4 linked regions of the Lepisosteus oculatus genome follow. The protein of the gene in region 1 interacts with the protein of each later gene in a biochemical or structural test. Links are inferred from orthologs where the notes say so. Each region holds a gene or a part of one and is shown in the gene's direction. Other genes may lie near its edges. The genes, in order: mitogen-activated protein kinase 1-like, dusp1, dusp3a and ptprr.

Evidence for each region.
Region 2: of the proteins of mitogen-activated protein kinase 1-like (region 1) and dusp1, one has a biochemical effect on the other in vitro, tested with the Homo sapiens proteins (2 studies listed by BioGRID and IntAct). The link is inferred for Lepisosteus oculatus from reciprocal best matches to the Homo sapiens genes MAPK3 and DUSP1.
Region 3: of the proteins of mitogen-activated protein kinase 1-like (region 1) and dusp3a, one has a biochemical effect on the other in vitro, tested with the Homo sapiens proteins (2 studies listed by BioGRID and IntAct). The link is inferred for Lepisosteus oculatus from reciprocal best matches to the Homo sapiens genes MAPK3 and DUSP3.
Region 4: the proteins of mitogen-activated protein kinase 1-like (region 1) and ptprr form a complex in vitro, tested with the Homo sapiens proteins (2 studies listed by BioGRID). The link is inferred for Lepisosteus oculatus from reciprocal best matches to the Homo sapiens genes MAPK3 and PTPRR.

What each region holds. Positions count from the first base shown.
Region 1 is NC_090699.1:2,582,335-2,589,573, forward strand, and holds the start of mitogen-activated protein kinase 1-like, read left to right. Parts: upstream 1-4,233; 5' UTR 4,234-4,598; coding exon 4,599-4,813; intron 4,814-7,239.
Region 2 is NC_090706.1:38,261,671-38,269,035, forward strand, and holds the start of dusp1 (dual specificity protein phosphatase 1), read left to right. Parts: upstream 1-4,352; 5' UTR 4,353-4,702; coding exon 4,703-5,105; intron 5,106-5,506; coding exon 5,507-5,655; intron 5,656-6,136; coding exon 6,137-6,356; intron 6,357-7,365. UniProt on the Homo sapiens protein: Dual specificity phosphatase that dephosphorylates MAP kinase MAPK1/ERK2 on both 'Thr-183' and 'Tyr-185', regulating its activity during the meiotic cell cycle.
Region 3 is NC_090723.1:3,225,496-3,232,906, forward strand, and holds the start of dusp3a (dual specificity protein phosphatase 3), read left to right. Parts: upstream 1-4,407; 5' UTR 4,408-4,663; coding exon 4,664-4,818; intron 4,819-7,411. Other genes in the region: killer cell lectin-like receptor subfamily B member 1B allele A, read right to left, coding at 4,226-4,242. UniProt on the Homo sapiens protein: Shows activity both for tyrosine-protein phosphate and serine-protein phosphate, but displays a strong preference toward phosphotyrosines. Specifically dephosphorylates and inactivates ERK1 and ERK2.
Region 4 is NC_090702.1:22,913,701-22,920,619, forward strand, and holds the start of ptprr (receptor-type tyrosine-protein phosphatase R), read left to right. Parts: upstream 1-3,905; 5' UTR 3,906-4,325; coding exon 4,326-4,386; intron 4,387-6,919. UniProt on the Homo sapiens protein: Sequesters mitogen-activated protein kinases (MAPKs) such as MAPK1, MAPK3 and MAPK14 in the cytoplasm in an inactive form.

The sequences.
Region 1 (7,239 bases):
TCCAGTCCCAGTACAGTAGACCAGTCCTGTTACAATAGGAGCTCCAGTCCCAGTACAGTACAACAGTCTGTTACAATAGGAGCTACAGTCCCAGTACAGTAGACCAGTCTGTTACAATAGGAGCTACAGTCCCAGTCCAGTAGAACAGTCTGTTACAATAGGAGCTACAGTCCCAGTACAGTAGACCAGTCTGTTACAATAGGAGCTACAGTCCCAGTACAGGAGACCAGTCTGTTACAATAGGAGCTACAGTCCCAGTACAGTAGACCAGTCCTGTTACAATAGGAGCCACAGTCCCAGTACAGTAGAACAGTCTGTTACAATAGGAGCTACAGTCCCAGTACAGTACAACAGTCTGTTACAATAGGAGCTACAGTCCCAGTACAGTAGACCAGTACTGTTACAATAGGAGCTCCAGTACCAGTACAGCACAACAGTCTGTTACAATAGGAGCTACAGTCCCAGTACAGTAGACCAGTCTGTTACAATAGGAGCTACAGTCCCAGTACAGTACAACAGTCTGTTACAATAGGGGCTACAGTCCCAGTACAGTAGACCAGTACTATTACAATAGGAGCTACAGTCCCAGTACAGTAGAACAGTCTGTTACAATAGGAGCTACAGTCCCAGTACAGTACAACAGTCTGTTACAATAGGAGCTACAGTCCCAGTACAGTAGACCAGTCTGTTACAATAGGAGCTACAGTCCCAGTACAGTACAACAGTCTGTTACAATAGGAGCTACAGTCCCAGTACAGTACAACAGTCTGTTACAATAGGAGCTACAGTCCCAGTACAGTAGACCAGTCTGTTACAATAGGAGCTACAGTCCCAGTACAGTACAACAGTCTGTTACAATAGGAGCTACAGTCCCAGTACAGTACAACAGTCTGTTACAATAGGAGCTACAGTCCCAGTACAGTAGACCAGTCCTGTTACAATAGGAGCTACAGTCCCAGTACAGTAGACCAGTCTGTTACAATAGGAGCTACAGTCCCAGTACAGTACAACAGTCTGTTACAATAGGAGCTACAGTCCCAGTACAGTAGACCAGTCTGTTACAATAGGAGCTACAGTCCCAGTACAGTAGAACAGTCTGCACACACTCACACACACACATGCTGACACACACACACTGACACACTGAAACACACACTGATGCACTCTCACACTAACACACACACACTGACAAACTGACACACTCACACACGCACACACTCACATGCTGACACACATTCACACACTCACACGCTGACACACACACACACTCACACGCTGACACACACACACTCACACTCACACGCTGACACACACTCAGACTCACACACACACACGCACGCACACACACTCACACTCACACGCACGCACGCACACACTCACACGCTGACACACACTCGAACTCAGCCTGGAGTTGAACTCTGCTCTCTGGAGAGGGTGCTCTGCCTGCTGTGTCCAGACCTGTGCTGTCCAGCCCGGTACTGTGTGCGTGGCGGTCCGGTCCGGTCCGGTCAGGGTCCCGCAGGTGTGCTGCGGAGCAGGAGAGAGAACCGCTGACTCACTGGGGTTTACTGCCAGGCGGTTCACAGAGTTCACAGAGTTCAGAGTTATCTCCTCTCTCCTCTCTCTCTCCCCCCTCTCTCTCTCCTCTCTCTCTCTCCCCTGTCTCTCCCCTCTCTCTCCCCTCTCTCTCCCCTCTCTCTCTCCTCTCTCCCCTCTCTCCTCCCTCTCTCTCCTCTCTCTCCCCTCCCTCTCCTGTGTCTAAAACTTGTCACCTCTCTGTCTAACTTTCTCTCTCACTGTCTCTCTGACTCTCAGTCTTTCTCTGTCTCTGTCCTCCTGTCTCTGTCTCTCAGTCTGTCTCTCTCTTCCCTCCCTCTGTCTCTCTGTCCCTCTGTCTCTCAGTCTGTCTCTCTGTCTCTCTGCTCTCAGTCTGTCTCTCTGTCTCTCTGTCCCTCTGTCTCTCAGTCTGTCTCACCCTCTCTCTGCTCTCAGTCTGTCTCTCTGTCTCTCTGTCCCTCTGTCTCTCAGTCTGTCTCACCCTCTCTCTGTCTCTCTGCTCTCAGTCTGTCTCTCTGTCTCTCTGCTCTCAGTCTGTCTCACCCTCTCTCTGTCCCTCTGTCTCTCAGTCTGTCTCACCCTCTCTCTGTCTCTCTGCTCTCAGTCTGTCTCTCTGTCTCTCTGCTCTCAGTCTGTCTCACCCTCTCTCTGCTCTCTGTTCTCTACAACTTGTTCCCTCTCTCTGGTCCCCTGACTGCACTCCCCTCCCTCCCTCTTTCCTGCATTCCTGCTCCCCTCCCAGCTGCTGTTTCCTGATCTCTCCCTCCCCTCTCTCCCCTCTCTCTTCTCTTTTGTTCCCTTACAGTCTCACAGTGCAGAGTTACTGTATTAACCCCTCTCTCTCTCTCAATTCAATTCAAGGTGCTTTATTAGCATGACCGATGGGTACAATCAGTGTTGCCAAAGCAAATAAAAATAATAAAATTAACATGGAACAAAACAAAAAATAGAAGACAGGTTACAGACATTTACAACAAAGACATATTATAAAATATTGACATATACTGTAGGCGGCTGGAGCATTATTGGGAGACAGACTCACTGTTCCTCAGGCTGGGACAGGAGATCACATACTGGGCTGCCAGTTCAACTGAGTTCCCTCCTCCCTCTCCCAGTAGGATTGGGACCCGTTGTGACCCTCTCTCTCTCTCTCAGTGCAGTGTTAATGTACTGGAGTGTCTAGTCAGTGTGTCTGTATGAACCCCTCTCTCTCTCAGTGCAGTGTTAATGTACTGGAGTGTCCAGTCAGTGTGACTGTATGAACCCCTCTCTCTCTCTCAGTGCAGTGTTCATGTACTGGAGTGTCCAGTAGGTGTGTGTGTATTAACCCCTCTCTCTCTCTCAGTGCAGTGTTAATGTACTGGAGTGTCCAGTCAGTGTGTGTGTATGAACCCCTCTCTCTCTCAGTGCAGTGTTAATGTACTGGAGTGTCCAGTCAGTGTGTCTGTATTAACCCCCCTCTCTCTCATTGTGAGTGGCACACCTGGCAGCCCCACTGGAGCCCAGCAGGGGGAGCCTGGCCAGTACCTGGAGGGGAGACTCCTGGGAGAGGGGTGAGTGGGGCCAGCAGGGGGCGCTCTCTCCCTGCGCTCTGTGTGGTCCTGATGCCCCAGTCCAGTGATGGTGAGCTATAAAAGAGTAGGGCTGGACACTGACGGGGACACTGGACTGGAAGAAGGCGCCGTCCTTCAGATGAGACGTGAAACCGGGGTCCTGACTCTCTGTGCTCATGAACAATCCCGGGGTGTCTCTATAAAAGAGTCGGGGTGTTACCCCGGTGTCCCCCTGGTCTTGACCAGTCCTGGCCTCCTAGTAACCCCTAATGACCTCGGACCTGTCCTCCTCGCCCTGAGAGCTGCTGTGTGTGAGCGCACTGGTGGGGCTCCACACTGCTGCTGCTGGAGGGGATCCCCACCACCAGCGGGGCGTCCAGAAAGGCGCTATATAAGTATAAGGCTATTATTAATGACCTCTGACCTGTCCTCCTCGCCCTGAGAGCTGCTGTGTGTGAGCGCACTGGTGGGGCTCCACACTGCTGCTGCTGGAGGGGATCCCCACCACCAGCGGGGCGTCCAGAAAGGCGCTATATAAGTATAAGGCTATTATTAATGACCTCTGACCTGTCCTCATCACTCTGAGAGCTGCTGTGTGGGGAGAATACTGGAACATCACCCAGGTGGGGGTACACACTGGTGGGGGGTGGGGGGGATCCCCATGACCTGTAAAGCGCTCTGCGTGTGTGTGTCCAGAAACGCGCTGCACGAGTGTGAGGAATGTATTCATTCTGATGAAATTCAGAAATGAGCTAGAATCCGCGTGCCCAGCTCTGGCGCCCACGCGTGATTTCGCACGATTAGCACCTTCGTTTCATTTCATGTGCATTTTTTTAAACAACAACAACAACAACAAATCTTTCAATGCCGTGAAATATACAACACAGATTTTTTTTTCAACTATATATATATGTGTGTGTCTGTTTTTGCGGTTTCTGCTCAGACTCCGGACGCCCCGGGCGAGCGGGCGTTCACCGTCCATCTCTGCCTCAACCTGTCGGGACGTGACTCGTGTTTTTTTTTTTTGTTCGGTGTTGTGCTTCTCGAAACGGGGTTCCCAAGCCAGGATGGCAACGAGCCCACGCCCACGCCTCCGCCCACTCCCACTCCCACTCTCACTCCCACGGACACGCAGTCGTGCAGAGCCAGCGAGCGTCGTCGGGGCCGCGCACTGCCTCGGCGGCAGCGCGCATCTCGCCAGGGGGGAGAGGAGGAGGAGGAAGAGGAGGAGGAGAGAGAGAGAAGGAGGCCGGGCGTCCTGTCTCTGCGCTCAGGCCGGCGAGGCCTCGTCTCTCTGCGCGCCTCCCCCTCCGCCAGTGAGAAACGCGCTCGCCCACCCCCGTCCCCGGCTCCCTGTTCTTGTGCGAAACGGGGCTTAATCCGCACTCCGGTCCCTCCTCCTCCTCCTCTCTTAGCTCCTCCCTGTCACAGTGACACAAACTCGCCGTGTAAACACTCGCACCTCGGCCTCGCAACAACACGGAAGTCATGGCGGACGCGACAGCCACCGCAGCGGCGGCCGCAGCCTCGGGCTCGAGTGGCGCCCCAGCCGGGGCCGGGGGCGCCGCCGCGCCGGCCGCCGGCTCCACGGGGGCCGGGGGCTCCAAGCCGGGCCTGGAGTCGGTGAAGGGGCAGAATTTCGACGTGGGGCCCCGCTACACGGACCTGCAGTACATCGGGGAGGGCGCGTACGGGATGGTCTGGTAAGGGCGTCCTTCTCGCTCGCGTTTCTGCAGCCGGAAAGGCGCTGCCATCGCGGTTATGGGGGGGAGTGTGGTGTTGTGCACGGCGGGTGGCGATCAGGGTGTCTTGGGGCAGGTTCCCACGCGTGTTTCGCCTCCGGCTTTGAGCACCGCACCCCACAGCGGGAGAGGGGTGTCTTGCGGGGGTGCGTGTCGGAGCAGACCAGGCGTGGCAGTGCGGGGTACCGGGAGGAAGAGACAGAGACGGACCGACGGAGCGTAGCCTGTAGTGCTACCTGTACCTGTACCTGCCGGGTACTGGTACAGACAACACAGTCACACTGTCAGTGTGTGTGTATTAACCCCTCTCTCTCTCAGTGCAGTGTTAATGTACTGGAGTGTCCAGTCAGTGTGTGTGTATTAACCCCTCTCTCTCTCAGTGCAGTGTTAATGTACTGGAGTGTCCAGTCAGTGTGTCTGTATTAACCCCTCTCTCTCTCAGTGCAGTGTTAATGTACTGGAGTGTCCAGTCAGTGTGTCTGTATTAACCCCTCTCTCTCTCAGTGCAGTGTTAATGTACTGGAGTGTCCAGTCAGTGTGTCTGTATGAACCCCTCTCTCTCTCAGTGCAGTGTTAATGTACTGGGGTGTCCAGTCAGTGTGTGTGTATTAACCCCTCTCTCTCTCTCTCAGTGCAGTGTTAATGTACTGGAGTGTCCAGTCAGTGTGTGTGTATTAACCTCTCTCTCTCAGTGCAGTGTTAATGTACTGGAGTGTCCAGTCAGTGTGTGTGTATTAACCTCTCTCTCTCAGTGCAGTGTTAATGTACTGGAGTGTCCAGTCAGTGTGTCTGTATTAACCCCTCTCTCTCTCAGTGCAGTGTTAATGTACTGGAGTGTCCAGTCAGTGTGTCTGTATAAACCCCTCTCTCTCTCAGTGCAGTGTTAATGTACTGGAGTGTCCAGTCAGTGTGTCTGTATGAACCCCCCTCTCTCTCAGTGCAGTGTAAATGTACTGGAGTGTCCAGTCGGTGTGTGTGTATGAACCCCTCTCTCTCTCTCAGTGCAGTGTTAATGTACTGGAGTGTCCAGTCAGTGTGTGTGTATGAACCCCTCTCTCTCTCTCAGTGCAGTGTTAATGTACTGGAGTGTCCAGTCAGTGTGTGTGTATTAACCCCTCTCTCTCTCTCAGTGCAGTGTTAATGTACTGGAGTGTCCAGTCAGTGTGTGTGTATTAACCCCTCTCTCTCTCAGTGCAGTGTTAATGTACTGGAGTGTCCAGTCAGTGTGAGTGTACTAACCCCTCTCTCTCTCAGTGCAGTGTTAATGTACTGGAGTGTCCAGTCGGTGTGTCTGTATTAACCCCTCTCTCTCTCAGTGCAGTGTTAATGTACTGGAGTGTCCAGTCGGTGTGTGTGTATGAACCCCTCTCTCTCTCTCTGTGTGTTTCTCGCGAGACTGAGTGAGTGAGTGGGCGGAGCTTCGGTGGGTTTGATCGTGTGGCGGTGTTTTCTTCACTGGGTTTGTGTTTTTCTGTCTTTTTTGGGGAAAAGCGGGGTTTATTTTCTCATCATGGCCGGTTCTGGAGGCTCTGATCCTCCAGACCTCTCCTTTGAGAAACTAACTCGCCGCCATGGTGTGAAAATCTCCCCTGCGGAGTTCTGTCCGCTTGAGAGGTGCGTTCTTGCGGTCGGGGAGGTCGTGGGCTGCAGGAACATCAGGTCCGCTTCCCGCATGAGTGGAGGTATAGTCATTTTCTTGCAGTCTACCGATTTGGCAAACACCCTGGTGGAGAAGGGAGTTGTCCTGGACGGCACCTTCACCCCGGTACTGCCTCTCGCGGCCCCGGCTCGAAAGATCACCCTCTCCAACGTGCCTCCGTTCATGAGGAACGAGCTGCTGGAGAGGGAACTGTCCCGATACGGACAGGTGGTCTCTCCGATCAGGAGGGTCCCTCTGGGCTGCAGGGCTCCGCAGCTGAAGCACGTCGTCTCTTTCCGGAGACAGGTCTACGTCATCCTAAAAAACCCCACGGAAGAGATCAATGTGGCCCTTAAATTTCGTATTGACAGCTGCGACTATGTTGTATTCGTGACTTCGGAATCGATGAAGTGCTTCAGGTGCGGGAGCGAGGGGCATGTGGTGAAGAACTGCCCGGAGGTGGAGGAAGAGACAGGCAGGGAGCCTCAGCCCCAGGGCGCACAGGAGGCTAGCCGACAGCGTCAGGCAGCGGGGAGCGGAGCAGCGCAGGGAGGCAGCGGGGAGTCAGAGCCCACGGCCGGGGTGCAGGAGAGGAGATCGCTGGAGGGAGCAGGTGAGCCCGAGCCGGTGGCGTCCCAGTCAGGAGAGCAGATAGTAAAGAGTGGACCACCGCAACCCTCAGAAGAGCAGGGAGCCCCCCACACCGGAGAGCGAGAGATGAGCGCTGCTCAGGAGAGTCAGGGAGAGA
Region 2 (7,365 bases), on another chromosome or scaffold:
ACCTAAAAATATCACTTACAATATTATTTGAAAAAAGTATTATTTTATTTTTTCTTATGTCTTGTGATTCACTGTGAAGCAATATGTTCTTGACTCCATTGTAAATGTTACACACATTTTGTATGACTCACATTTGAGAATTTGAGCCCCGTTATGCAATTTTCGAAATGTCTTATTTACATACTCTGAAGGTTTTATCCCACTTTGAAAAAATAAAATACACATATGTATTGGAATGTTCCAGACTCTTAGAAAGTTTTGGAATGTTAAAGAGAGTTCTGCTGATGATGTCATGTGATATTTCAGAAAACATTACATTATCTCAGCCAAATGTGATATTACTAAGAAATGAACTACTTCAGAACATAAATTCATATACTTTTAAAGCAGGATTTTTTTTAAGTCTTTCATCATTTCTTAGTTTTAAGCTTTACAAACCCAAAGAGTAATAAGTACTAATTAGACAAAAATACACAACAGACTGAAGTCCCTGCTGTAGTGTTTTTCGACAACGTCATAAATGCCCACCGAAGGTAATTAAATAGCAATGATAGAAAAAAAAAACATTCACTAAAATTCCCCCAAATGATAATAACGTTTATAAGGGATATCAAGCATATTTAAAGAACAAGTACAGGTTTATTCCATGCTGAAAAAGAGAAGAAAGAAAACACAACGTTTCAGCTGTGGAGCCTTCTTCGGGTGTGACGCAGCTACCCGAACTTCTTCGAGCATATACTGTATATATTTATATTGATTCGGACACACATCGAGCATATACTGTATATATTTATATTGATTCGGACACACATCGAGCATATACTGTATATATTTATATTGATTCGGTCACACATACAGAGCCCGTAAAACACAGCAGTTCCGCCCCGTTCTCTTATAGTCTGTATCTATTGTTGTTAATTGCTGTTGTGATCAGAATCGATTCGGCCCTTTTTTTTTAAGAAAGTAAAATCTTAGATACTCCCGGTCACCCCCAAAACGAAACCAGGAACCCGCAGGGCGGCCCATGCAGATACACGGCGGGCGAGCGCTATCAGCGCTTTGCCCCTCCCCGCACGCGACGGCCCGGCGCGAGATGCCTTCGCTTTGAACGTGATTCACTCCTGCAGAGCCTGACAGTAACTACAGACCGCAGATCCCCCCCAGCACAACGCGATACTGTGCGCATATGACTCACGAATGCTTTTGGAAACCATTACTTGCCTTTCTCCGTCTTTGCTTTTGTTTTTGTTTGTTTTTCTGTTTCTTTCTGCTCTGTGCTTGTGTGACAGCAATGAACCCATCTTTCCGAAGGAGCGGTCAAATGCCGGAGTTACTCAGGGCAAAGGAATACAGGGCTGAAGCGCCGAGCTTCTCTCGTTTGGCATGAACAGCCCCGGGTGACTTGTTTAAATGATTTAATTATGATATAGGCTCCAATTCTGAGCTAAATAAAGGCGAACATTAATGTTATTTACGTTGTCTGACGGGGTATACGACCTTCAATACCTTGACTGCGCTTTAAATACTGTGTTCTTCACTGCACATTTTCATACAGGTGTGTATTGTAAGCATAAGTATTGTAAGGCTTGAACCCAGGCATGTCATTCCAGATCACGCTCGAATAAAAAGAAAGTGTAAATCTGTCTCATATTCTGATAGCATAATATATTATGCTAAAAAAAACAATTTCTATATTGTCTTGTTTATTGTAAAGGCCAGTGGTCGAAGGCAGACTTTGTTGGAATATTTATTCAAATATTAATAGTTCTGTAATATCAATTTTCTTGGTAACCCCTATGGTGTGTCACTTTAGTCACAGGTTTTTTATGCAATGTTTTCATTACACCAGAAAAAAACGTCAGCCACACGCCCTGTTCAAACATCCTCCACGCCCAGGTTTAACTGAGGCCAAATGATAAACTGACAGTCTAGTTTTTCAGCTCCCAAAACAAGCAAGTATGTAGCTTGTGAAAGGACAGAATGGAGAGACCGGTGTTTCTTCAGGTGTGCGGCCAATCCCCCACCTCTGCAAAGTTGTGTTTCTTCTTTCATTTTGCATTTCAGGCTGGAAGAAAGACCTTTACTTGATCCCTGGCACACTTACACAGTCCCTAACTAAAACCTCTATATCTCAGGGAGACTCGTTAGAGCTAAACAGAATGATCTTCATCTTATACTGTACATGAATCACCTTTTAAGGTCTAAATAACATTGAAATTCCTTGCAACAACTCAAAATTAGGATTTTTGTGGTAGCACGAGATTACAGAGCTCTGTACTCTTAAGGCGGCCTGTTTAATTTCAATACCTTTATTATTTCCATGTTGCAGTTTTCATGCATTCCACCTGAACCTTAGAACAGTACTGTTCTCTCTTTCACGCCCATGCTGTAAACAGGAAATTGAATGATCGTTCTTTCAGCTGGGACAAAAACAAGGCAATAAGTCCTTGTACATAAGGTGTTTGTCTGAGTCACCTGCAGAACAACCGGTATTGCACGTGACTGTACCACAACACTCACATCAGCACGAAGGCTGTGACTCATAACTACCAGCGAAACACTACTGAGAGGAGTAAACCTCAACACAGCAAGGGCTACTCCAGTGTTGCGATCCATGTCTGATGACGAGACAGCACGTTCTACACACAGTGGGAGCACGTAAAAGTACATGAAAAGTTGCCCAGCCCTGCCATTGAAGCCAGTAAATGTCATGAAATGACTTGGTGACGTTCTCGCATCAGTGAGCTACTAGTTGCCATACAGACTGGGTGGTCTGAAAGGAGTCCGCCAGATTGTCCCTCATGTCCTCGATTTATTTAACAACAAAACGGTCGTCTTTGTCAGGCTATTCTGTACCTCTTTGGTATAAGAACTGACAAGGGAAAAGGCCTGTCCTGTGGTGAGACATTAAGGACTCGAGACACACAAGAAGACCTCAACAAGGGGGGTCTGTGCTGTGGTCTTAATTCCACACCACGACTGTACCTTATTGTACCTGCTCGTTCGAGTTTTTCCATTTTATTAAGCCCTCTGTGGCTTACATCACTCCAAGTCTCCGCTAATGGTCACAGCATGTCAAAGGGAAGGTGACAATGAAAGAAGTTGGATCCTGAACTCGGCCACAGTATATGAACCCTCCACACAGCAAGTGTTGATAGCTTCATGGAAATTTACCAGACCCTAGGTTTTTATATAGTGATTAACTTTTATGGTTTACCTTAGCACCCAGCATTAGCCCCGATGCAGTACTTAAGGAGAACATAAAATTTTATGGGCGGCGTGGCAGATATTCGTTTATTGTCTTGTTATTTGTCAGAGCTCCTTTGAGGGGTAAAAAATAAAACGAAAACAAACAATAACATCATGGAATTTTTTCAGCCTTCACAGAAGATCACTGGGATTCCTGACACGTCCCCATGAACAGGCAGCAGAGCCCTCGGATTAAAACGCAGTTGAAAGATTTCTCATTTCTGGGGTAACAAAGCTTCACCCGATTGTTCAGAAACACGGCTATCTCTGTTATTTATCCGTAAGCCTAAAAAGTAAGTCCTGAAAGAAAATCCACTTAGGAAAGAAGATGCGGTACTAACACAGCATACTTACCTGAACGTGTGCCTCGTTTTACTATCTTACTAACGGTACTTTTACAAATGATGTGTTTTAACCTGTTTCTTATTTGATATTCTGTTCCACCAAGGCCGGGAGAACAGACTACCTATTTTAAAACGTAAGAGGAAGTTTAAAAAGCGAATCGTCACGTAATTCTCGGGGGTTTATTCTTCTACAGAAATCACTTTCAGGTCAAACGTCGGGGGGCTGTATTTTGGAATCGAGTGGTCGGCAGCAGACATTACAGATCTAGAAATGCTCTTTTATCTTTCCATATACAGATGATATCTTTGAAGTGTTTCAAATAATTGATGAGTCAGGTGCGCCGTCCCGATCAAACATCAGAAATATTTGATCACCACTTTTCGTATATCATAGGATTGTATTGCACGCTGTGACATCACTGTAGTTTTTGGTGAATAACCTTTAGTGACCAGAATAGGACTTCTCCTCCTTAAATAGTAACACAGCGGTAAACTCACGAAAACTCTCGGGACAAAACCATTCCTCGGCCGTAACACCGTGCTGCCCTGCTTCTTACAAACTTGGCTTTGCTCCAGGTCTCAGATCGCAATCTCGGGTTTGTTTGGCTTTGCAGGAACTTTGGCTGCCCGGGTTTAGCCCTGCTCGTGGAATGACGTCGCCCAAGTTTACGCTGGGCACGCTGCCAAGGGGAGGCGGAGCCTCTACGTCATCGCATTCTCATTCACAAAAAGAGCGCCGGCTCCCCATATAAAAACCACACTGCCGAGGGTTAGGCAGAAGCAAGCGTACATCAGCGGCTGGGAAGTCTTAGGCAGGACGGACGCCAGCACAACAGCAAAAGAAAAACAAAGGGACTGATTGTAAAGAACAAGCGGATTCTTATCGATACCGGCTTTTGGGTTGTTTGTTTGTTTGTTTTGGGGGGCAACCCGCGTGTTCTTTTTCGAACCGAGAGAGTGCTCCGTCAAAGAACAGAAAGAGTAACCAACTGAAGATACTCATCGTAATAAAATAAAAAAAGGCAACAACCGTATTCGTCCCGCGCTCGATTCATTTTCGTATCGGGGAAGGAAGGGGGTGAAGAACGGACTCGCCGTCTGTTTCCTTTATGCGTCTAGATTTGCCGTTCTCAACGTGTCGCCCCACTACTATGGTCATAATGGAAGTCCCCAGCCTCGACTGCGCCGCCTTCCGAAACCTGCTGGACGCCGGCGCGCTGGTCCTCGACTGCCGCTCCTTCTTCTCCTTCAACTCCTCTCACATCCCCGGCTCTACCAACGTGCGCTTCAGCACCATCGTGCGCCGGCGGGCCCGGGGCGGGCTGGGGCTGGAGCACATCGTGCCCAACGAGGAGGCCCGGTGCCGGCTGCTGTCCGGCCAGTGCCGCGCGGTGGTGTTCCTGGACGAGCGCAGCGCGGACTTCGAGCAGGTCAAGAAGGACAGCACGCTCATGCTGGCCGTCGCCGCCCTGCGCCGCGACCCCTGCGGGGCCAGCGTGTTCCTGCTCAGAGGTGCGTCTGAACCCCGGCTCCTGACACGTTTGCCGAGCCCGAGAAAGAGGTTCCTCGGTGGTCTTTTTTGCTCTGTTAGCACGCCGTTAGCGTGGCGTGGTGCCCGAGTCGCGCAACGCTTTTTTTCCCCTCTCTCTCTCTCTCCCCTGGACTACAAGCCTAAGCGACCTGTTTTGTCATTGTAAATTGTTTCCCCGGTCTCCACTTTGGGGGGGAGTGAAGGAGACCGGGCTGCTCAGGTTTCTGCCCGCCAAGTGGCCCGTCTGTACAGCGGCGGTTCCGGGTGCCGGAGCCGCGTCGCCTTTTGTGTCCAGATTTTAAAAGGCGCCGGGGTAGACCAGCGCTGAAGTGCGGCGCTAGGCGTTCATAATAACCTTCCGGTTTCCCCTTTCATGCTTTAGGTGGCTTCGAGGCGTTTGCCTCCGAGTTTCCCGAGCTGTGCACGAAGCCCGCCGCCCCGCAGGGCTTGTGTTTGCCGCTGAGCTCCAGCTGCCCGCCCGGGAGCGCGGAGTCCGGCTGCAGTTCCTGTGGGACACCGCTGTACGACCAGGTAAGCTCCTGCACATTGTAAGAGCAGAGTTAGAGCCTTAAGCTGCTCGGCTCTTTAAAATGCACCACAGTCTCTGTTTCGCACTCACTTCCCCCTTTTTAGCGTCTGACAGTGACACGGCAAAAATAACGCTTTTGATACTCTAAAAACACTGTCGACGGCAGAAATTCCCCTTTGCAGCGGCAGATTCGGGGGAAAAATAACCATTCATAAGGGTATTTTCGTTCGCTAAATGTTTTTTTTTCCCGCCCCAAGACAGACCATTAATTGTGTTCTGTAGGGATTGTGACGGTTATCTTAAACCTTGTTGTGGGTCGATTTAACCGTGACCTCTAGTAACGTATTACTCACGTCTTACTTAGAAGCCTTCCTGTGAAAATAGCATAAGCTAAAAGGGTTGTTTTTTCCCCCCCAGACTTGATAAGACCAGCGCTGCTGCTGCATTAGTGACCAAATGTGTGTGTTGTCCCTCTCCATTCAGGGTGGTCCAGTTGAGATCCTGCCCTTCCTCTATCTGGGCAGTGCCTACCACGCCTCCAGGAAGGACATGCTGGACACTCTGGGCATCACGGCCCTCATCAACGTGTCCGCCAACTGCCCGAACCACTTTGAGGGTCACTATCAGTACAAGAGCATCCCGGTGGAGGACAACCACAAGGCTGACATCAGCTCCTGGTTCAACGAGGCCATCGAGTTCATCGGTGAGCACGTTCTTTCCAGCGCTTTCTAAATACACGACACTTTTCGTGACAATCTCCTGGCGTAGGCTTGAGTTTCTTCTTGTGTCCCAGAGAAGGAAGCTTTCTTCCCGTGTTGGCAAACCCATCTATACTACTGTACTACTCCTGGCTGTGGACTTGTGTGCTTTCTGATTTCTGCTTCTTCAGCTTTGTCTGGAAACGGTTCTAAAAATGCCACTTACATTTGGCATGCTCAGTATTGTCCCTCTATTGTCAGTAGATTTCATTTCTACTACCAAAAAAACGTTCAGGGTCCAAAATTCTAGTATTGATATGAAACTATACTTACTCAAATACTGAAATACTTACTCGCGTGCAGAATGTGGCTACGAGTACACTCCAGAAATCAAAAACAGACTCTTAATGGAAGGCCTTTCTCTTCAGCTCTGCGAGACCTGATTCAAATTCAAAAGGGGTTTCCCTCCAATTTTTCGACAGCTGGTCAGCCGAGCTCCCTGGCAGGCAGGCTGATGTCATCCCCCACCCCCCTTGCCCCATTCAGATTCAAGAGGGGCACCCCCCACTCCCTAAACCACACAGGCACACCCCCTCTTGTGTTAACCACAAGGCCACGACCTGGGCTGCTTTTGAGCAGAGTGGCTGGTCTGTTCCTGTCGTGCCTCCAGTCTCCAGCAGAACAAAGGCCGCGGAACAAAAGGTGGTTTCTCCCTCGCTCTCTGCTGGCCTTCCTCCCGGACTGATGCTCACAGCAGGAGGGGGGGGGGGGGTGCTTTCTTAATGTGTACCCCCACCCCCCACTCCCACCCTTCAGCCAGGGCAGGCCTTTGTCAGTCTTCCCCTCCATTTGTTTGCGCTCTTTATAGCCCCTCTTCCTGTTTCAGAATGAGGCAGTGTCCCTCTATTAGTCGGGTCATTAACAGCTTTATTGCCAGCGCAGAGCAACATAGCGAGACGGAATCGGATGCCGTCGCAGCGGTTTTCAGCCCCCTGCTCCTGCCGCGTTGTTTGG
Region 3 (7,411 bases), on another chromosome or scaffold:
TTATTTTTATACAGCTTTATTGTACTTACTGTATTAACTATTTTACTCTGCTTGTGTCAAACCCATGTAGAGATAAGACATTTGTTTTACTCATATTTGGTATAGCCAAATATGGAGAATTAAGTTAGTCTGCAAATACCTTAGCACCTTTCAACACAGCTTAGCATTTCACAATAATGCTCTAGAGCAAAAAAAGGCACAAGCATTAATCAGGCTTGATTATACCGATGATATGGCTACTTATGCAAGAAATGTCATATGACACTGAGCACAGGATGTATGTATAATGTCAAACAGGAAATATGCCTATGGAGCCACTTCCTTTAACCTTTCCTCCTGCTCATTACTCCTACTTTCTTCAATGCCTGCTTCACCTGATCTCTTTCCCCTTCTTTCCTTCCTTCTGCCCCATTTCATCATTTGTCCAGCCCACCAATGACTAATGTCAAATGCAATTATAATATTTTATCAACTTATCAATGCAATGCATTCCTTGAAGACCAGAAAATGTACATTTTTAATATGAACTGTGAGATACTAAACTAAAAGATGTAATCCATGAATGATTTGAGGCTTTAATGTTGACCCACTTTCATCATCTATTGTGGATCAGGAAGTAATAAAACTGTCCAATGTCCAATGTTTAAAGTTCATACTGCAGAATTCTGGATGTAGATTAACAATGTGGAAATGATGCAATACACACTTCATGCAGACTTCATTTTCAATGTCATGTGCAGTTTCCTCCTCCATGATACATGAAAGAGATTACTGTCCTGGATATACAGTAGTACAGAAAGGCCTGACAGAAATGTCATATTCAGACAGATTAAGATAAATGAAACCTTTTAATCTACAAGAGAGAGGATCACAGTGGGGTTTGTTGCAGGTATGCAAAAACCTGAAAGGTGTAGGCAGATTCAGTCCTGTGGGACAGCTTTAAGATTAGCCACATTATGAATCTCAAGAGCTTCAATTTATCATAATAACATCTATTTGTAAAGCTTCTTACCAAACCCAAAGATACTGTACTCACAGGCGGTAATGTATAAGAAATAAAAACAGACAAAATAATAAAAAGTAAATAAAATTAAACACCACCAGGCAGGACAAACTGTAAGATAGTCAGACACAGTAAAAAGGTGAGTTTTAAGTTTAGATTTGAAAAGGGTCAAAGAATTTGCCTCTCTATGGAAGAAGGCTATTCAATAACAAAGGATCAGCAACAGAAAAAGCACAGTCACAAGTAAAGTTCAGTGAGCAATTAAGATTAAAAGTGCTCAAGCTAGAAAACAGGAGACACAACCCTATGTGCAAACACAGGGCATCGGAAAACTAAATGACTGGTCACTGGAGAGCTGGGGCTGAACATATTGATGATCCACGTCAGACAATGAAACGAGAGAACCTGAAACCAATTGTCCACAACTTTGTAAGAGCGCTCTACAGAGAGATGCACGGACAAAAGAAATCAACGTTTATCAAAATAATATTTAACAACAGTTTATCCAAGAACAAAACCTTAGGAATATATTGAAGCTGTAGTACATTTCTCCAGTGAAATAGGATTACAAGGGTCTTTAACGAAAGCCTAATTGAAAATCTGATGCTTGCCCTTTTATTGTGCAAAACAAATGCACTATCACTTTTCACCACCAGAGGCCACTATGAGAACACTGCCACCACTTGTCTATTCGGATTTCATTCATGAGCTCTTTCCATACAACTCAATGATTGCAGCCTGCTGTCCACATGGATATGAAATGGGTGCTTAGAGGATGTTCAGGACTAAGCTGAGAGTTGAGATAGCCATGTTTGATGGACCAAAGAGGTGGTGTCAGAGAGATGGGCAGAGTGTTATCTTCACTGTTTGACCCAGGCAGACCAAGTCATCAAAACTGGATGACCAACACACCAGTGCCATCAACAGTAGACAACTGTGACCAGACAACTTTTGCAAGCTGTTTGCAGCAGCTCAGGAAGAGTGGCAGAACTTCCCACAGCAGTCTACTCTGAGGCTGATTAGGTCCATACATCAAAGCTCAGGGGTGTTCTAACTTTGTCATTATTTTAATTTGACAGTCCGTCACACTACAAACTTGTGAAGATTCTTAAATCCATACTTTTGTTCACCATTTCTGTGATTTTCTTTGATACTGTATGCATGTTTAAACCACTTGACCGACTCCACTGACCTGAGGGCTGCATTTCTTTTAAGCTTCGGTATACTTCTGTTACAGAGGTATAGTGTGGCTACAGAAGGGCATGTGTGCTTTAACACAGACAACATATGCATTCTTATGCCAAAAACAAAATAAAAGCTCTCTCTTCAAGGTAAGAAAAGTACAAGCCTGCAGAAAGATTCTAGGAAAAAGATAGTATATATATGCTGAAATACAAAGTGACATTATGATTTAATAAGTCTAGATCTTGTGCAGTATTTCAAGGACATATTGCCGCTATTTATTTTAAATTGTGCACTGAGTGCAAAATACTGTCCTTCAAGCCAGTGGCAAAGGGCTTTCTGCCTTACACAGAGTACGAGACTGTGTCTCTGATCTTAAATGGGATCTTTAATGAGAAAGTTGTTAGAAGTTTGATTTAATATCACATGACAACGACAGCACCTAATGTAGCATAGTGTTCTCAGTCACCATACCAGAGCATTGGTTTGAAAACCCCGGTCAATACACAAGGACGCCACTTACTCACTGGCCAACACCTACAAACAGGTACCTGGAGGCCTCCCATCCCAGTGCTGATGAGGCCCAGCCTTGCATAGTTTCAGCTCAGTTGTAGCTCAGGCTACAAGACGGTAACACTGTTGCCCTGTGTAGAGATACATTTGTCCCATCTTTCTCTGGGTTTCTCTATTCCTACAAACCCATATTCTCTACGTTAATGTCTAAGCAATGACAGAGTCCAGATCCCATCACAGCTTTATTACATTTAAACTCTTTCTATGGTCTATGGCTTGTGCGATTATCTCCACGCTCATTACATTCCTAAAAAGCAAACAAACAACACCAGGCTGCTGTTGTGTGCCAGCTCTCTGCTGTACACCTTTCCAGAACCTCAGCAAGCACCCCTGGTATGTTACTGGTTATGTTATCGATGTGAATATTTTCAGTCACATTAACTGCTGGTGTTGTTTTGAAGTGAAGAAAAATGGTTACAAGCCATGGTAAAATACAAACAAAAAGATATATAAAAAATAGATATTAGAGTGTAATGCCATGAAAGAAATGAGGCACTTGATGTTCTTAGAACCCTCTAGAGACCTGACAGGCTTGTCCAGCTGCTTTCTCTGACTCTTGACAGGATTGGTACAGATCAAGAGGCTCCATCCTGGCAATGTCAGTAAGGAGCTGTCTCTAGTCTGCTGGCTCGGTTATTTATGAGACAGAATAGGGCCTTTGTTTCAGAACAGCAACGCCTGTTTGACCATCCTGGCTGGGAATGTACAGGGGGGAGGGGGTCTGGGGTTCTCAGTGATGTCAGGGGGGGAAAAAGAAAGAACCTTTGAAAACCAGCTTGTGAAAACCCCAAATGGAAATAAGACTGACAGATTTCAGCACTTGAGCAGCCAACACAACATGCAACAAACTCTGTTATGCATTTACTTACATTAGTAACTGATGGCTTTCTTGAAATAATTCATCTATTGCAACACATCTTTGTCCGTACAGTGACTTCTATGAAATGAGAAATAGATCATAGGACACACAGCCTTTGACTGATGTTGACGTGTACCTTAGACACAAAGATTCACAGTTGAGATGTACAGTAGATCCAATATGGATCACTGATTGGTATAGCCCAGGTCTTTATAACTAGAGGAGGTAGCTTTCATTCAGAGTACAGCAATCCTCACCTCGTGGAAATGATGGAAAGGAATCAGATTTCTTCTTAGTTAGGGATGTTAACCCAGCTGACCTACAGTACCTAAATTGAGCAAAAGTGCTGTCAACGTATTTTTCCCCCTTTAATTCAGTTGGTGAACTAATTCCTCACTTCTCCACCTACTGCACAAGGGTTCCTGACGCAAACGCCATCTGTGCGTCAACCAGGTGGATGCAAAGGGTCCCTCTTCAATGTATACTGTATATGTGGACCGTTTGGGGTTAAGAAACTGTTTAAATGCAAGCTTATTATCATTATTGAGCCCCATCTCCCATGTCCCTCCTCCACCCCTCCCAGCGTGAAATTTAAAGGTAGGCAATACCCAGGAGAGCATGACATTCTGCCGGCCAACCTAGGTTTTCCCTGGTGTGCGCAGAGCTCGGAGACGGCAGGGCTGCGAGTCTTGCTTCAGCTCGGCGGCGCCTTTAACTGCTCCCCTCTCCCTGCCTCCCTCCTCGCCCCGTGCCTGTCGCGTCCTGGTCGCCACCCTGTGCGCGTCGCTCGCTCAATCTCCCCCGCGGAGCGCCTTTCTCTCCGACCCGTTCCTCTCTGGTGTGCAAGCGGACTGAAGACCGGGGTGTGTCGGGCGGGGAGTGACGGAGCGAGCGAGTGCGCCTTGGAAATCCACAGAGCACACAGAAAAGAGAGAAAAAAAGCGATGGTCCAAAATCAGAAACCGACACCGCCCGGGCTCGCACAGTAACCTGACACTTGTTCACCCCTCTAAAATAACTCGCGGGGTATCGCAGGCTTTTCCCACATGAAGAAGAACCAGAGCCCGGCCAAAGTCAACATGTCAGACTACCAGATCTCAGTGCAAGAACTTAACGAGCTGCTGTCAAACGGCAGCGGATTTTACAGCCTGCCTACACAGCACTACAATGAGGTATTTCCCAGGATTTACGTGGGTAACGCGTAAGTTTTCCATTTCTTCCAAACTGGATTCCAGTTATTTGCTATTTGCTCATTGCTCCCTCCGTAACAGAAGCAGCGTTATTTGAGAAAAGGTGTATCCTTCTCCTTAGCAACCCTAAACAAATCTGAGCAGGAGAAGGTGCGGTGCGGAACATAATGTCGTGTTGTTTTCATAACCTTCAGGATGTGCATCTTCCTGTCAAATCAAATGCATCACCTGATCTTAAATTAAAAATCTGATGTTTGTGGCCTACTTATAGTATGCATTCAGATATTCATTTCAAATTAATCCAGAGACTAGAGTCACCCATTAATATCTGAATGTTATGTGTTTTTTAGTCTAGCAGTGTTTATTTGACACACAACCATTTTTATACGTACATCTTCAGTATCTGGTAGCTGATTTGAATGCTAGCATTCGTAGTTAATTATCATCAACTTTAAACTGTTAACAATTATTGTTGTTTTTCGTACAATTGCTACTATTCATTACATCAACAGAACAATAACGCTACAGTAAAATACACAGTCGCTCATCGCTAGGGCTTGGTTAAAACTGTACAGTTGTAAAGGAGGGCTGTGGTATAGAGATAAGGATTTTAATGGAGAAATGGCCACTTCTATTTATTTTCTCTGTCGGTTTAACTGTTTTCAGTGATGTTTTCAGGGTTGGGATTTGAAAATAAGCGACTCGAGCTTGGAACTGAGGGGCGTGCGCTCATTACGTGCTCATTATAGCGTGTCGCCAGTCAAGCTGACCTGTCTCGTGTGCACATTAAGGTCTCGTCGGTGTCTTCATGCACAAAGCACAAAGCAAACGCTCTTAGCTTCTTCGCATACAGCACAGTGCAGACAAGTGCACCTACTGGACATTTTGCACCTGAAAAGAAACGTCAAAATAAATCGCCGGCCCACCTGTTTCATTCTTTGTACTCCGGGACTTGGGTTTGTTCGATGCAACAGAAGCATGAGAAAATATTCGATTTGCGTGAAGGAGTTATTATTCAAAAGTAAAGGATTGACAGGTTAAAAACAAATTAATTTCCAGTCTTTTCGGTGCAAATGGACGACAATTCGGGTGAATTACTCTACTTCAGCTTTTAGAGTTTTTAGAGCCACACCTATGCAAATTCATGTAACGGATTAATAAAGCATGTTTAAACAGTAAATCTGTCAAAATGCAGTGGGAATGAGGGCAGACAGCATTCCTCATCCAGATTACAGATCTCAGCAACACCTGAGAGAGACCAAGGAGAAAAGGATACTTCCCTCTTAGGATCAAAGTGAAATTTCCGAGTTCCCACACAGGCAGTGCATCTTCTTACATAGTATTTAAAGACTGGGCATGCCAGTGACTCACGCTTCTATACTATTCAAATTGTTTCTCTTTCTTTACAATTGCTTGTTCAAAATATCGAAGAGCAAAGTGGATTGTCCCCTCTGTGTGCATCAGTCTGGGAGTTCCAGTAGCATTATATTAGTCCGTTAAATGTTATTCACAATTACAGTACCACAGCTGTGCCAAACCCAAGGGGCACAGTTCTTTGCAAAGGTATTAGCCTCCTTTCGATGGTGTCCCTTTTGTTAAACTGCAAATGATGGAGACACATTTGAAAGTGAGTGTTTTGGAGCAACAAAATACAAAAAACAAAACACTTTTTATGGGTGAAAGAAGCTAACCATCGGCACAATTTGCAAAGAAGAACTGGAATCTAAAATATGTTGCTTGCATGAGTATTTACACCTTTTCTCAATATTTGGCAGAAACTCCTTTAGTCACTGAATATAGCTTATTATTTTTGAATTAGTTTAAATGCATTCTCATTTGTCTGTCTTGTTTTTGGTTTAAACATATGCCCCTGGCTGTTATATTTAACCAGATCATGTTCCAAGCTTTGGCTAAAAGGTAAAAAGATGATTGCTTCGGAAGCAGTACAGGCAACTGGAGCTTGATTCTTAGTCAAACCTACAGTACTCAACCCTTGCGTATTACAATAGGTTAGAATGGAATATGTGCAGAAAGAGAACCTTACTTTAGGATGAAATTAATGAAAAGCCATAAATGTGCAGCAACCCACACAGTTAGAAAAGCACAGCTAAGGCAACGTTAAAAATGTATTTGGATTGTGATTTTTAAAAATCTTAACTATTCAGCATGCTGAACTGTACAGTATATGCCAAGCAGTTGCAAGTCATAGAAAATTATCCGTATAAAACTGTACTGATATATTAGAAAACATACTTGTGCTTCCAAAATGATACATAAGCTAAAAAATGAACAGCAAAAAAAACATTCTAGCATTGGCTCTAAATATAACTTGAGTTGAACATTTTTCATATCAGCAAAACCTAGATTGTACAGAGACGACATCCACCCCCACCACATGAGTCACTCAGCAAGTGTTTCTAGTTATAAATTTTCATCCCTGGGATCCAGTTTTTTATTCACTACAACGTAGTATTGTCTCACAGGGCAAAAAGATTGCCTTCCTGTTCCCAGTCCTTTAAAAAGGTAGTGTGGCATTGCTTGTACTGTACTTCTCTCTTTTAATGCTTGTCATGAAGTGCAGTCGGTGTTCTTCCACTATGTTGG
Region 4 (6,919 bases), on another chromosome or scaffold:
AAAAAAAACTTACATTTTATTTTTCTGTTTGTTCTGATTCTGGGGTACATACTGGTCTATTCCCTCAAGCTATCATGATCATCTCTCTTCTAGTATTAAATTGAATTCTCTCTCTGCTACATTGCAACATTATGAAAATGGTCTTGGTCTTGAAAAATGATACTCGTCATGCAACAGATGCACCTCTGCTTCTTCCCATTAGGGGTCACTCTAACACTCTCAATTGTAATAGGTATATGGTGCAATCATAAATTTGAAGAAACGGGGTGAAGGGTGGGGAATATGGATGATACCCCTTCTTTCTTTTTCACGTTAATAACGGACACTAATACAGTAGCAGCTGAATTTTTATAACAGCAAATGCTATTATAAACATCAATGAAAAGAGCAATGTGAAAACAAGGCCATAATCCTTTTCATTGGCACATAAAAAATAATGCAATGAAACCTTTTAGTTTCTGCATTAATTCTCACTTGCCTCTATGCCCAAGAGGCACAAAAGAAATCTCAGACCTGCTTTTCCCCAGACCTCCCGAACCCGCCAAAGGATTCATTAGAGTGTAGAAAACATCAGAACAGTTATAAACGAGAAGAGGCCATTCAACTAATTTGCAGTGGGTATAGAAAGTCAACACCCCCTTTCAAAATATGTACCTTTTGTTGTATGACACTCTGAAAATAAAAACAAACTAAATTAGGCTTGTTCCATCTTTATTTACGCACAGTAACCCACATTAGCCAAGTGAAAATAACATTCTAAAACATTCTGAAAATGAATTAATTTTACAACAGTAAAACACCTTGTTTGGATAAGTGAACACCCCCCTTACAATTGCATTTGTAAACCTTCTCAGGTATAACCAATAACCTTACAGATCACACAACAAACTAATTGGCTCCCTGTGGTCAATTGTCGTGATTTTGATTAGTTCAGGACAAAAGTAGTGTTTTCTAGAGGATTCCACTGCTTGGAAGTGCATTTCAAAGCAAAGAAGCCACTATTGGCGGAAAGGTGCTTTCAGAAAAAACTTTGAGATAAAGCTGTGGAAAGGAGTCAGGAGATGGGTATAAAATGGTTTCAAAGGCTTTATGTATCCCATGGAGCACAGTCAAGACCATCATTAAGAAGTGGAACAAATTTCCACAAATCTGGCTTGTATGGGAGGGTGCCAAGAAAAAAGCCACATCAAGTCTTGTTTATGTTTTGCTAAAAAGCACCTTAAAGACCTAAAAGCACCTCAATTTTTTTGGCCAGTATGCAAAAGGTATGTCTGGTGAAAACCCAATACATCTTACCATCCAAAGAACACCATTCCTACAGTAAAGCACGGTGGTGGCAGCATCCTGCTGTGGGGGTGTTTCTCTTCAGGTGGGACTGGAGCACTTGTCAGGATAGAAGGGAAGATGAATGATTCAAAATTCAGGCAAATTCTTGAAGCAAACCTGCAGCCCTCAGCCAGGAAGTGGAAAATGGGAAGATGGTTCACCTTTCAGAATTACAACATTTAGAGGTTATTTTAACGTTAATGATTTTCAAGATCATAATATACTTGCAGCCTATGGGAACTCTTAGTTCATTAGATAGTAAAGCTTTATTAATTTGACTCTAGACATAATATTCAGCTTGGATATTATGAATATTAGTGTGATTAATTCTAATACGACAAGATTCTGATACAGCCCACGCCTGGCTCTGAGTGCAACGTTAACAAGGGAAATAATACAGGATGCAGGATGTCAAGCAGATGACAGAACAGCAAGAATGATCATGATTTTTTTCCACCCTTTGGTCTAGCAGTTGTGAGACAGCCGTGGTTCATGCGTTTTGAGTGATAGCAAAAAGAATGAGGGTCATATTTGATTGCTCAATGAGACGGACTAGTTCTTGCTTAAATAATACCACATTTAGTTAAGAGCGGCTGCTTCCCATTTTCCCCTGTCCAAGTTAGAGAACTGTAAGCATAGCCACTGCTATGATATTACATCCAAATACTGAGATATACTGTACTGTAACTAAAGGTTTTCTGTACCTTTAGCAATGAAAGACAAAGGTAGAATTGTGAAGAAAATACATTTAATACTTAAATACATAAGATTCCTTCCTGTATAAAACTGACAGTAGAACACTATTACCAGTTTACAAATCATCACCAAACTTCTCATTAATGAAATACAGACTGCATATATTCTCACATTTGCACTTTTAATTGAACAGATTAAACAGGTGCCACTTTTAATAGCTCTTTTATTAATTCACCATTAATGCTCATAACACACTGTCAAATCCTTTCAGACAATTCAGATTTCATACATTGTTCGTTACCAGTGGTTCTGCCACCAGATCTGAACATTGAGTAGATGGTGCTGGTCTTCAATATTGGGAATGAAGTGGTCTTAACCCCATGAGAGTTCTAGCTAACAGCCATTCTGATCTGACATTTGCTGAGTCTAACCCTGGAGATACAGTAGATCTATAAATTAAATTGGCAATTAGATTCCATGGTAACGCAGGACAAGGTGGAATGGCGGTGCAGTGGTCAGCGTTGCTGTCTCACAGCGCTGGGGCCGTGGGTTCAAGTCCAGACCTGGGATGCTGTCTGTGTGAAGTTGGTACTGTATGTTTGTGTGGGTTTCCTCCTGCAGTCCAAAAACCTACTGGTAGGTCAGTTGAGTTCTGGGAAAATGTCACTAGGTGTGAGTGTGTAGGTGTTGGTCTGTCTCCCATGTGATGGACTGGGTTTACCCTGCCTCCAAGCCAGGATAGACTCTGGATCTCCTGGGACCCATAATAGGAAGAAGAGATTAGAAAATGGATGGATGGACACAGGACAAATGCATACACGACAAATGAACATCATTCAATGCTGACGTAATATTCAGATGGAATTCAATGTGGATGTACAGTAATATTCAGACTTGGGTAAGAATTTGCCCTCTATGAATATTAATGATTTCTTAAAGTAAGCTACTTATGGCATGGTTGAAAGAGATATTACCCTGAATTCCCAAAGTGCAAATTGAAAGACAACATGAAAACCAAAACAAAATGTACTGTATCTCCTCTGCTATAAAAATAAATGAATGTCAAGCTTCAGAGTCCAAATGCAAAAAAAGGTCTTCCTAGAATTCTGAGGCAGTGCATCATTATCAATTTATGAATTCTATTGTAATTAATCCACAGGAAGGCTGAATTATTAACAAAAAAACATTTTCACCTAATACCACCATTTCATTCTTTTCAATAACGGTCTTGCCATTAATGACATGGTTATCAGGACCATCGCATAAATATTGATTATTGACCATAAGCCAGCCTTGGTTCACTGTGATCCAGCTGATTAAAATACAGTATACTAATACCATGCCTAAACCATTAGAGTAACTTTAGCAACAACTTTACCCATTACCAGCAATATTAAAATGTCATTCATTATTTAGTATTGTTTCATTATTTAATATGAAACCCATTAATATCCATCTGTATAATGAAACTGAATATTTGGACTGGATATATACATCTATATACATGTCTTATAGGTGTATATACAATAAATTATACAGTACTTTATACCGTATCCACGGCTAATAATTTATTAAGCATCCATTTTCAAAAACCGCCTAATCCTTAGAGGGTTATTGAAAGAGCAAACCAGTCTCCACCAGGAGGCTCAAGGTGTAAGGCAATATGATTATTTTTTCAAATTCAATATAGCGATAGCTTTCACATAAAATGCCGTTTAGTACCGAGCATATAATTAAACATGCTACCAAAAATTAACAAACATATCCAGTTGTCTGCATTTTACTTAATCGATTAGTTTAAGATGAGTTTTAGTTCTTAATAAAAATATTTGTCTTAAGAAATCTGAGCCAATATTTTTATTTCTTTGCCCTTTAAGAGAAACTACTATTAGTAATAGGTCAGTGAAATCTCACGATGTTGGTACACGTAAATTGCATTCCTGAAAACGAGACAACACGAACAGATCACACGTTTGCACTCTCGAGCCCCAAGAAGGCTGAATTTGGTGGAATCTTGGAATGGGTGTCATCGGAAGACTACCCATATTAATTATGCATCAGCTCTCCACCGCTACTCTCGCAAAGTAACTGCGCCAGCTCAGCTACGGTAAATTGAGATGACTGATGTAAAGCAGAATCGCCATTGCAAAATATTGTTGCGCTAGGATCACCGGAAAATTCTTTAGAGAGTACCTACTGTAGGACTACAATCGTACCATTCCGTATTATTGTAATTGGGAAAAGTAAACCATTCTGAAAGCTGTTTTTAATGTGAACGTTTGACGACTCAACGGCTCAGAAATATGCAAGGAAGAAGCGAGTTCCAGATTGTTGTTTACGCGCTATTTCTACTAAAGACTGTTGGTAAGTATTAAAAATTAAGAACGCGCGAAGGTGTAAAACATTTAATCGTGTTTCCGCGAGCTCGCATATGGCATTTATTTCGGATATACAGTAGGTGGTGTGTACAACCTTATTGATTGGTATCTCATCTCCGACCACAATTTTAAACTGGTTGTTTTACCAAATGCAAAAAAAACAGTGATTTAAAGCAGGTGTTACTTGATAGAAAAACATTTGCATTAATAATAGTAAAGTTTCAATTCATGCGCTGAAATACCTGCAGATTGTTGTCGCATTTTGAGGGTATACAGAATTCGCGGAGGCGGTGAATTTGATCTTTTGCATTTTAGGAACTGGTTTACGAAATTGAAGTTTTGTGTGAAACTGTGTTCGTGTATCTGTTTATTGCGAATCAATCGACCTGTCTGCATTCATTTATTTTAATTTTAATTGGCTTTAACGGTTTAGTATATGGTTTGTAATTTCGAGACGAAATGAAGGATATCCCGCCCAGTGTTAAAGCCACATCAGGAAGAAGCCACAGTTTGCGTATTTTGATTAATAGTAATGGTGATTGCAGTTGCCAATCAAATCCTTATTTCCAATCCGGTTCAAGTCCGTGGCTGTTGAGCATTTCAGAACCAAGGCCAGCGACCGTCTGTACACAGCACTGTCGCCGGGGAGAAAACGTGCTTAGCAGCTTCCTCAGAAGGAGAAAGGTTTCCAATTCAGTCATTTCAGTAGAAGTACCGTGTTTGTAGGTCTGGCAACCAATCAGTAAATCAATAAAACATGCACTTATTACCTAGGTACAATGTATATTATCGAAAGCAGGATTAAATACTAGGGTACATTATCGATATCGAAGAATAAACACCTCGTTAGACTAGATTGCTGTGTATTTAATGTAATTCATGCCCCGTTTCTGTTATCAACATGGACTAATTCTAGTCCGTCCTTAAAATGTATGAGGATATACTGTACCTTCTGTTAACAAACCCAGCTTTTAATAAACAAAATGCAACATTTTCCTTTTTTGTACAGCATTCAATCGTTAAAATATTTAAACAAATAGTAGGAGCTAAATCAGGTTAAACCACTATGATAATTAAAATAACAGAAATTGGTGACATTGGAAACATCTACATTGAGCCTCTTTATAATAGTGTATAATAGTATAATATTGTTCACAAATGGTACACAGTTGTAATATTATATCCCTATGTAAAATAATCCTCACAAACAGGATTTCTAATATCATAGTATATTAATATTTAGGTCACAGTTTTATTTCAGTTGGCATACATGTTTGGTTATGATCTTCTCCTAAATCCGACCATTTATGAGAGTAAGCAAATTGGAAAATTAGAGGGAATGTACAGTAGCATTGTGCATAAAACATACCCAACAGTTTGAGTTTAAAATAAGTCCTTGATGTCTGGAAACTAGTTATTATAGATTAATATGGATTAATCTATAATGGGTTAATGATTAGAGTGGATTAGAAAACTCTCTAGGCTAGAACCATATAAAGGTAGCATGTATGTAGCTATGAGTATTAGCTCAAAACATTTAAAATACTTAATGGAAAAATAATTTGTGGACATGATTGTTAAATGCAGTTATGTAAAATGTGGAATGTTTCAAATTAAATGTGTAAAATACCCTCAGAAAGTATCCTTGTATACTGTTTTTTCACTTGTATTTTTCACTTGTTATTTCTTTGAATAGGAGGGAAGGATGACTAAAACAGTAAATGTTGTAATATTGAAATGCCACATTTTTAAAAATAGTTCTGTGTCCAAATGCTTACAGTTTATTGCTTCCTATCTGTACATTTTCTATCTGAACGTATCTGTACGTTTTTGCAGGATTGATCATCAATATAACTACAGTTGCCTGAAAATAATTTATTATCTCGGTTCAAGTTCTCATCTGAGTCTGCATTCTCTGCATTATGACTGGGCTTTGCATATGATGCAGCTCACAGAGCCATAATACACAGAGGTATTGTGACTCTTAAGAAAGCCTTTTCATTGCTGCATCATTGAAAGCTCAAATCCTCTTTTTTAGCTGCCTGACCAAACAAACTACTAAGCAAACTTTGCTTAGATTGTTACCAAGACACAAACATGCCTGTTTTGACAATTGTGTATTCTGTTGTTTGATTGTCAGCAACAGAAAAAAAAAAGTTTTGTTTTCAGAGTCTGACCTCCCTCCCATGGGTGTCAGGCAAGAGGTCATGTGGACTTGCTGTTATTTCCATGCAAGATGCTGAATGTAGAATACAAATGTGTGCCTTTGGAAAGCGCTTCTTGTCTTTTGTTTTGTTGCTTCACTGTGGTTCTTTAATAGAGTAGGTGCATTTAATCTGTACTGCATAATTTGCAAAAGGTAAGGCAGCTATTGTGTTCCCTGACTAGCTCTGTTAGTAGAGCATGAGACAGAATCTCAGGGTAGTGGGTTCGTGTCCCGCGTCGGGCGCAAGGTTCTCTAATAACCCATACTGGGCAGCAGCAGTATGGGGGGTGGCGGTGTTGGTGGTATCTGTGTG